Linked DNA regions of Canis lupus familiaris. The protein of the gene in region 1 interacts with the protein of each later gene in a biochemical or structural test. Links are inferred from orthologs where the notes say so. Each region holds a gene or a part of one and is shown on either strand. Other genes may lie near its edges. The genes, in order: AGO2 and DICER1.

Evidence for each region.
Region 2: the proteins of AGO2 (region 1) and DICER1 form a complex in vitro, tested with the Homo sapiens proteins (2 studies listed by BioGRID and IntAct). The link is inferred for Canis lupus familiaris from reciprocal best matches to the Homo sapiens genes AGO2 and DICER1.

Annotation. Positions count from the first base shown.
Region 1 is NC_049234.1:35,794,835-35,798,651, forward strand, and holds the end of AGO2 (protein argonaute-2), read right to left. Parts: intron 2,548-3,817; coding exon 2,446-2,547; intron 1,804-2,445; coding exon 1,604-1,803; intron 1,328-1,603; coding exon 1,219-1,327; 3' UTR 297-1,218; downstream 1-296.
Region 2 is NC_049229.1:64,308,859-64,312,675, reverse strand, and holds part of DICER1 (endoribonuclease Dicer), read left to right. Parts: intron 1-3,025; coding exon 3,026-3,181; intron 3,182-3,817. UniProt on the Homo sapiens protein: Double-stranded RNA (dsRNA) endoribonuclease playing a central role in short dsRNA-mediated post-transcriptional gene silencing.

The DNA.
Region 1 (3,817 bases):
ACACGGACTTGTTTCCCGGGAATGGAAGAATAAATACATTCCATTTGTGCTTAATCGGCCGAGCAATGCACAGGGGGCAGGACGTGGGGTGGTGGTGAGCGGCCGCCGGGCCTGCGCTCGGTCCCCCCGAAGGTACAGGCTACGCAATCTACGCGGGGGGGAGGCGGGTGGCGGTCACATTGACTCAATTGCATACTCCTGTATGTAAGCACTGAGAACCACAGGAGGTGGTCCAGTCTCCAGAACACTCTTGATATGCGAAACAGATCACAATAAGCACCCCGAAGTCAATAAAATGAAAAAACAGCATCTATCTATCACATTAATACTGCAAACCAGATATATATATTTTTTCTCTTACATTAAAGACATAACAGTGAAAAAGGATTGTACTGTATTTATCACCACAGACCCGTATTCTTTAGAAACTTTGGAAAATAAATGTCACAGTCCTATAGGACAAATCTTATGATTAGACTGTCGGCATATTGTCTTTTTTCTTTTTTTTTTTTTAAATAAATTTTTATTAAAATGGCACTTGTCTGCCAATCTCTCTGGACCTATAAATGTTGTAAACACACATGGCCCATCCTCTGCCCCCGCTCCTTATTTCAAGCTGAGTGAAAGGCAGGCAATGGCAGGACAAGACACCCATGGGCGCCTCGGCGGGCCACCTGCCCGAGGTCCTGAAGAGCTTGCGTCAGCCCTGTCAGGAGCACACTAGTATCACTCTGACATAAAACTTTAGTGACCACCTCAGAATGCTCAAGGCTTTAAAACCACAGCCACGATCTGCGTTGCTTTCACTCTCTGAGAACGTTCACAGCTAGTTTGAGCCCACCAATTTCATAGAGAATCATGTGTTAAAAACAAGTAAATTGAATGACCAAATAAATTAAAAATGTTTTAAAGCCCTGAGTTCATAGACTGGTTTTAGGAGATTTTTAGGAAACACGGGACTCTATTTTTAATAAGCAGCTTATAGATTTTGGCAAACCATATTTCCTACGACAATGGGGTCTCATACAGGTCTGCAGTTCAAAATCCAAGTTTGAAATCTGGGACGGAAGGCATTCTGGAAAATGGAGAATCTACTAAAATCAATGACGTCTCATGTTCGATGCTGGCTGTCACGGAAGGGCTGGGCATCTGTTGGTCTGAGTGTAGCTGGTCTCATGTGAATCCAACTCGGTACACAATCGTAAACACTAAAACACGTCAAGCAAAGTACATGGTGCGCAGCGTGTCCTGATGAACCTGGACTGCCTTTGCCAACGCTTGATGGTCTCGTCCATTACTCTGCCCGGAGGTATGGCTTCCTTCGGCACTGCGGGGATGGGAGGAGAGAGAGAGTGTGCAGCCTTTAATGCACCACGAGGCAGCGTGCGGGTAACTAGGTAAGACTATGCACTAGATGTCTGGGGTGGTGGCCATGCGGCTACTGGGCGGCAGTGTCAGTGCTGGCCTCCGGGTGTCTGTGTCACAGTCGGCTCCAGCCACAGGGGCCCCACTGCTTCCCGGTCTGAACACGGAGCTTGCCAAAGCGTGTTACAGAAGTGCCCCCTGCCATGACCCCAGCCAGTTTGAAAGGCATGCCACTCACCTGTCATGTTCTTTGTCCACCAGGTGGTACCTGGCCCGGAAGGCCACCAGGTGGGCATAGTATGCTGGCGCCGGGATGGACACGGAGCGTGTGCAGCGCACATAGGTGTGACACAGCTGGTAGGTGAGAATCTGCAGCTCATCGGAAGAGAAACGATTGTCATCCCAAAGCACGTGATAGTGGGAAGGCCTGCTTGTTCCCTAAAAGCAGATCAGAGGATCAGAGGAGTCAATGTGAGAGTGAGAAATCCAGAACTCACCTACGCGAGGGCACTGCTGAGAAAAGCCACGCTTTGGTCACGGTGGGCTATGCAACCTCCGTACAGAGAACACAGTGGGACGACTCCTAAGGACAAAACACTGTGGGCCCCTCACCGACAGAGACCTTCCCTGTACGTCCTACAAAGGCGTGTGGCCGGGGACAAGGCTGCGGCCCACGAAGTGGGAAGGAGTGGACCCTGAGTCAGCACCTCCGTCACCTGCTGCCCTTCTCGTAGCAGCCCCAGGGGCCCTGTCACCGCTCACATCTCTGCTAGCTCGCTGGTCACCGGGCTCCAGGCACATGGGACACCTCTTGCACCTCACCAGCGCACCTGGCCTCTGCCCCAGCTACTTCTGACTTCATCTCATCTAAAATGGGAACCCCGACCACAGCACACCAGTGGGTCCCTGCTCCTCAGCACCCACGGTCCCAAGCCGCACCTGTTCACTGGCCACCTGCCCAAGTGCCTTGGGGACAGGCTGGGGCCCCAGCCCTGGTTCCCCTAGTGTGCCCCCAGTGCCCGCTGGGGTCTGTGTTCGGAGACACCGAGAACGTGCGGAGGGCCCCCCCACCGTCCTTACCTGGATGCCAGCGTGACTACACAGGTAGAAGTCAAACTCGGTCGGGTGGGTGATTTTCGTGTCCACAGTTGTGCCTGCTGGAATGTTTCCACTTTTCCCGACCTTCGGCAACACAGGAGCCCATTAGACACGGGGCAGCAAGGTAAAGCTAGCAATTCCGCCTCACCCACACTGCGTTCCGCTGCTGGCCCTTCCTGATCGCAGGCTGCCCGATTTCGCAGTCTACACCAGCTAATGCATTTGCTCAGCGCTACAGAACTAAGATAAAATTTAACAAACACTAACTACTAGAAGTAAGTAAGTTCCTGTCCCATGACGGCTGGGGCTATTTTCCCCATCTCGTCAAGGCCCAGAAGAGAATCGTAGTTGTCTGCCCTTCACTGAGAATCTGTGTGTAACGCTTGAAGAACTCCCCATGACTGCTGAGGTCACCGACACACAAATCTAAAACCATGCACGATGGACACCTGACAGGTCATCAGCTGTGCACAAACACACCTGCTGTTCAAGGCACAAAAGCTAGAAAACCCTGAAAGCTGTCAGGAGCTCTTGCGCCTTGTGGGTGGCTTCATCACCACCACCCAAGAGGGCATGCTTTTCCCTTAGAGACCATCGGAGAAGCAGGGGTACAGACTAGGACTGCGAATTATATCCAACCACTTCACTCTAGGCTCACATTCTAGGATGACAAAGCCAGCAGACGCCCCGCTACTACCACTGGGGAGCAACAACGCCAAAGCTCTAGAGCCCAACCTATTTTTAGTAAATCACTAGTTTTTTAGTTATACAATTTTCAAACACAAACAAAAGAGAGAATCCCCGGTATAACCCCTGTGCCCCTTTGGGTGTGTATTTTACTTCTTGCCAACCTTTTTCACACCTTCTGATTTTTTTTTAAGTAAACGATTTGAAAATAGTGCCTCCCTCTGCTTCCCTCCTATGTTGCAGTCTCAGATTTAGACTTTATCATTCCTACATATGCTTTTATTTTTCACTGCATTTTTAAGTTTCCCTTAGCACTACCTGGTGTTACTTCCCAGGTTTTAAAGTTGTGTACGTGTGTCACATATGTTCTGCTACCTGCGGTTTTGCTCAATATTTACAATTTTGAGATGTATTCATGTGATACACACAGTCTATCATATTCATTGCCGTGTAGCATGTCAGTATATGAACACATCACAACCTCTTCTCCTGTTAGCAGATAAAGTTTTTGCTATCAAAAACAATACTGCAAAAGCTTAAAAAAAAGGGGGGGGGGGACTCCTGGGTGGCTCAGTGGTTGAGCATCTTCTTTCAGCTCAGGGTGTGATCCCGGGGTCCTGGGATTGAGTCCCGCATTGGGCTGCTCACAGGGAGCCTGCTTCTCCCT
Region 2 (3,817 bases), on another chromosome or scaffold:
TGAGGAAGGGAAAGAGTAGCAGTGCTCTAGCTCAGTGACTCTTCAGTATAAAGGAAGTGATGCCAGAGCTCCAAGCAAGCAGTGCTTGAGAGGCCAAAGGAAGAGTGTGTTCTGAAACCAGTGCGAATTAAGATTTAAGGAAGAAAAGCAACAAAGTCACACTATTTAAGTGATGATAGAAGAGGTATCACAAGGCTACCTGTACCTGCTTGACAAATAACTTAGAAAGCTGCTATTTGCCCTAAACACTTAGAAGGAAGGAGTATCACATGTAATCAGAGGGCGTTGATGGAAGAGGTGGATTTATAGTGTGTAAACACAATGAACAAATGGCAGAGCGTGTTAGCACTCTGACTAGACTGTGGCAGCAGTCAGAAGTGTGGAAATACCTGAGAAAAGATTAAAAAGGCAGGTGGGTGAAGCTCTTGTGGAAAATCTTTAGTCTCACTAGGCAAAGGAGTTTGCACTTATTTTGAATGTTGAAGACACTTTAGCTCAAGAGCCTCTACTTTTTTTTTTGAGAGGGAGAGAGAGAGAGATATTGGGAGGAGGGGCAGAGGGAGAGAATCCTAGCAGGCTCCATGCCCAGTGCGGAGCCTGATGCAGGGCTCAATCTCACGACCCTGAGATCATTACCTGAGCCAAAATCAAGAATCGGCCGCTCAACCGACTATGCCACCCAGGTGCCCCATGAGTGGCTCTTAATGTTCATGAAGTGGTGGTTGTAAACGATGGCTCTGACAGCAGAGTGCAGCCTGAGTGGAAAAGCGAAACCAAACCAAGCTGAGCGATCAGTTGGGGCTTTGAATCTATGCAAGCGGAAAATGGGTTAGTTGTGGAGTTCTGGCAGTGAGGAGAGGGCTGAGGTGAGTAGTATTTCAGAGGGAATGCGAGTTGTAGCTCACAGCAAGTGCCTCCTTTAGCCAGACACTACTCTTGCCACCTTCTGTAAATTGCCTGATGTAGTTCTGTACACTTTTATTCTGTAATTTTATTTATAGTTGTATATACTTCTATTATCCATAGTTGCTAGATGAGGGTACTGAGGCAAGAGACGATCGCTTGACGCGGGTCACATGAGACTATGTGGCCGAGCCCAGAGAGTCTGGGCTTAGGGACCTAGCTCTTCACCACCACACTCCTCAATCTCCGATGTCACGCTATAGCAGCAGACACTACCTCGGGTGTTTTATAGACCTCGCATGTACAGTCTTCTGAGAGAGCCCCTGGGGGATAGACATTGTGTCTCCATTTTGCAGATGGAGAAACTCTACCCAGAGACTAATTAGTTCCTGCAAGGTTACCTAACTAATCAGAGAGTTGGGGGTGATGGAGGTGAGAGCCCATACCCTTCACCCTCCTTGCTGCCTGTCAGTGTAATGAAGGGCAGAGAGGCCTCTGATGCCAGGGTGACTGTGTGTAAGCTGGGAAATTAGGGCAATGGTGGTGCTCGTGGTGACATAGGTGTAGCGTTTTCAGACTTCGTAGAAAATGAAGTGGAATATTCACTGAAGTATTGAGATAATTTAGATAAGGTTTGGGGGAATAGTCTCTGTAAGAGTGATAATCAAACTGTCAGAACAAACGAGATTTCCATAAGGTGTAGGAAGAAAATGTCAGAGCCTGAGGATGAGTAGGAAGGAATAGTACATGTTTTCTGTTAGGTAAGAAAGAAGTTCATGTACATTTCAAAAATTTCATCTGTTTGTCTCCTGGGAAAGCTTTGACTCCTTATTTCCTGTAGAGATCGTTGTTACTCCCTCAGCCCAGTGTCAAAGGAAGGCCTTGTCTGTGCTCACACTCCAGACACGTCCTGTGTCCCGACCAAATCTAAGCCCCTGGCTAGTCTCCATATGGGCTCTGCACGTGCACACCCACTCTGTTCCTCTCCCAGTGCTCTTCCCGTTTCTGCCCAACCCATATTGCACCTCAGAGCCCTTAGCTTTTGCTTCCTGTTCCTTCCTGCCCACGATTCCATCTAACTTTGAACATGATTGCCATCTTCATCCTCTCGTTGCCTTCTGTGACACTGTGATCCCATATAGGCACAGGGATGCTGGCATTTACCAGAGCTGTTCCGATAGCATGCTGCATGTGGTGCCACGGGTAGATGCCTGTCCCTCCCAGTTGGGTCGTCTGCAGGGACTGCTCCTCAGTCTCGTGGACTCTGTTCTTTCAGGGGCACCCGACCAGGTGTTTCTCCCGTGGCAGGTGCCTGTTCAGTGGTGTTGAGCTCCCCTGGAAAAGGGGCTTATGAAGTATTTGCATAAAAAGGAACCCCATTTGTAGAAAATGAAAATGAGATTGACAGTTCTAGATCCTCATTTCCAGGTTTTCACTAGACATCTCTGGATAAAAATGTTACAGTTTGAATAAGTTAGGGAGGACATGGAGTCCATAGGAAAAACACACCAGAGGGTAAACAATGAAGCTATTTTATTGTTGTGAGTAATATTACCTTTTGCTCTGTTTTAAAATGGTTGAATAAAAATATCTTGAAATGCCATCCAAAACAAAGGAATGATATTTGAGAAAATAATTGTAATTAAAGTTATGTTTGTGGCTTAGATTCTAGGAGTATGAAATTATTTTAGCTCTGTTCAGTGCCAACTTCCACTTTATAGCCAGAGTTGTGGCATTCCCTCCCGTTTATGTCTTTGAAAATATTGTGACATCTTAGACTTTTTATGTGGATTTTTTTCTATTCTGATAGTCCCAGTTGGCAGTTTGCATTTAATATCATTAGGTTGTATTTCCAAATGTTTGAAATTGTATGAACTATTTGTTCTGACTTTGTAAGGAATTTGCATATCAGTTTTTTCTAATCTGCATTTAAAATCAGAAATTCTCATCTACACTGAAGGATGTAGAATATATGGGAATATAATATTTGCTGTCGTGAATAAATTGATGATCAGATACAATAATATGAAGAGCATTGAGCTAAAAATATGTTTATTTGCCTGGTATGAATTCCAGCAGTGATCATATGCAGATAAGCATCTTAAAATTTTTTCTGCTAAAGGTCAGCAACTGTAATCTGTATCGGCTTGGAAAAAAGAAGGGACTGCCCAGCCGCATGGTGGTATCAATATTTGATCCCCCTGTGAATTGGCTTCCTCCTGGTTATGTAGTAAACCAAGACAAAAGTAACGCAGATAAATGGGAAAAAGATGAAATGGTAAGTTTTTGGTAACTGGAAGCATTTATTTCTTGGTGAACTGGAGAATTTTGTGCTATTAACTTTTGTGTTTCCTTTCCATGGTGTATTTATAGTAGAGTAGGTATTTGGTATAGTGAATTAATTCCTTTAAATAGACCGTCTCTTCATTGAATTTTAGAAACTGTTATTTTGACGGGGAGAGGATTCTGTCTCCTTTTTTTTTTTTTTTCAGGAGCATAAATATATATGATGCTGTGACTCAAAACAAGAAAAAAAGCAAAACTCCCTTAACATTTCATTTCACTGTTATGTGTAAGAATCTGTCATCTATCCTTAGCGCTCTGTTCAGTAAGATGACTCTTCAGTAATGACTTGTGATCTTCAGTCTGTGAAATAATTTCAGTAAAGCCTTGCTCTGCAGGTCAGGGTTTTCTCAGTTAGGACTAGGTCTTCTCTGATGACCTTAAAAAAAAATCATAAAGATTGTAGTTTTCTGGAAATAGTTTAAATCTTGCCAGTGGCTTAAGGGCCAAATATTAGATGCAGCTGCTTCGTTTTGTCTTGTCTTGAAGGCCACCAGAGGGCACCTCGGAGGGCCTCAGAGCTGGAAAAGCCGTCCACCCAGAGGTGGGCCGCTGGAAAGCACTGGTGCCT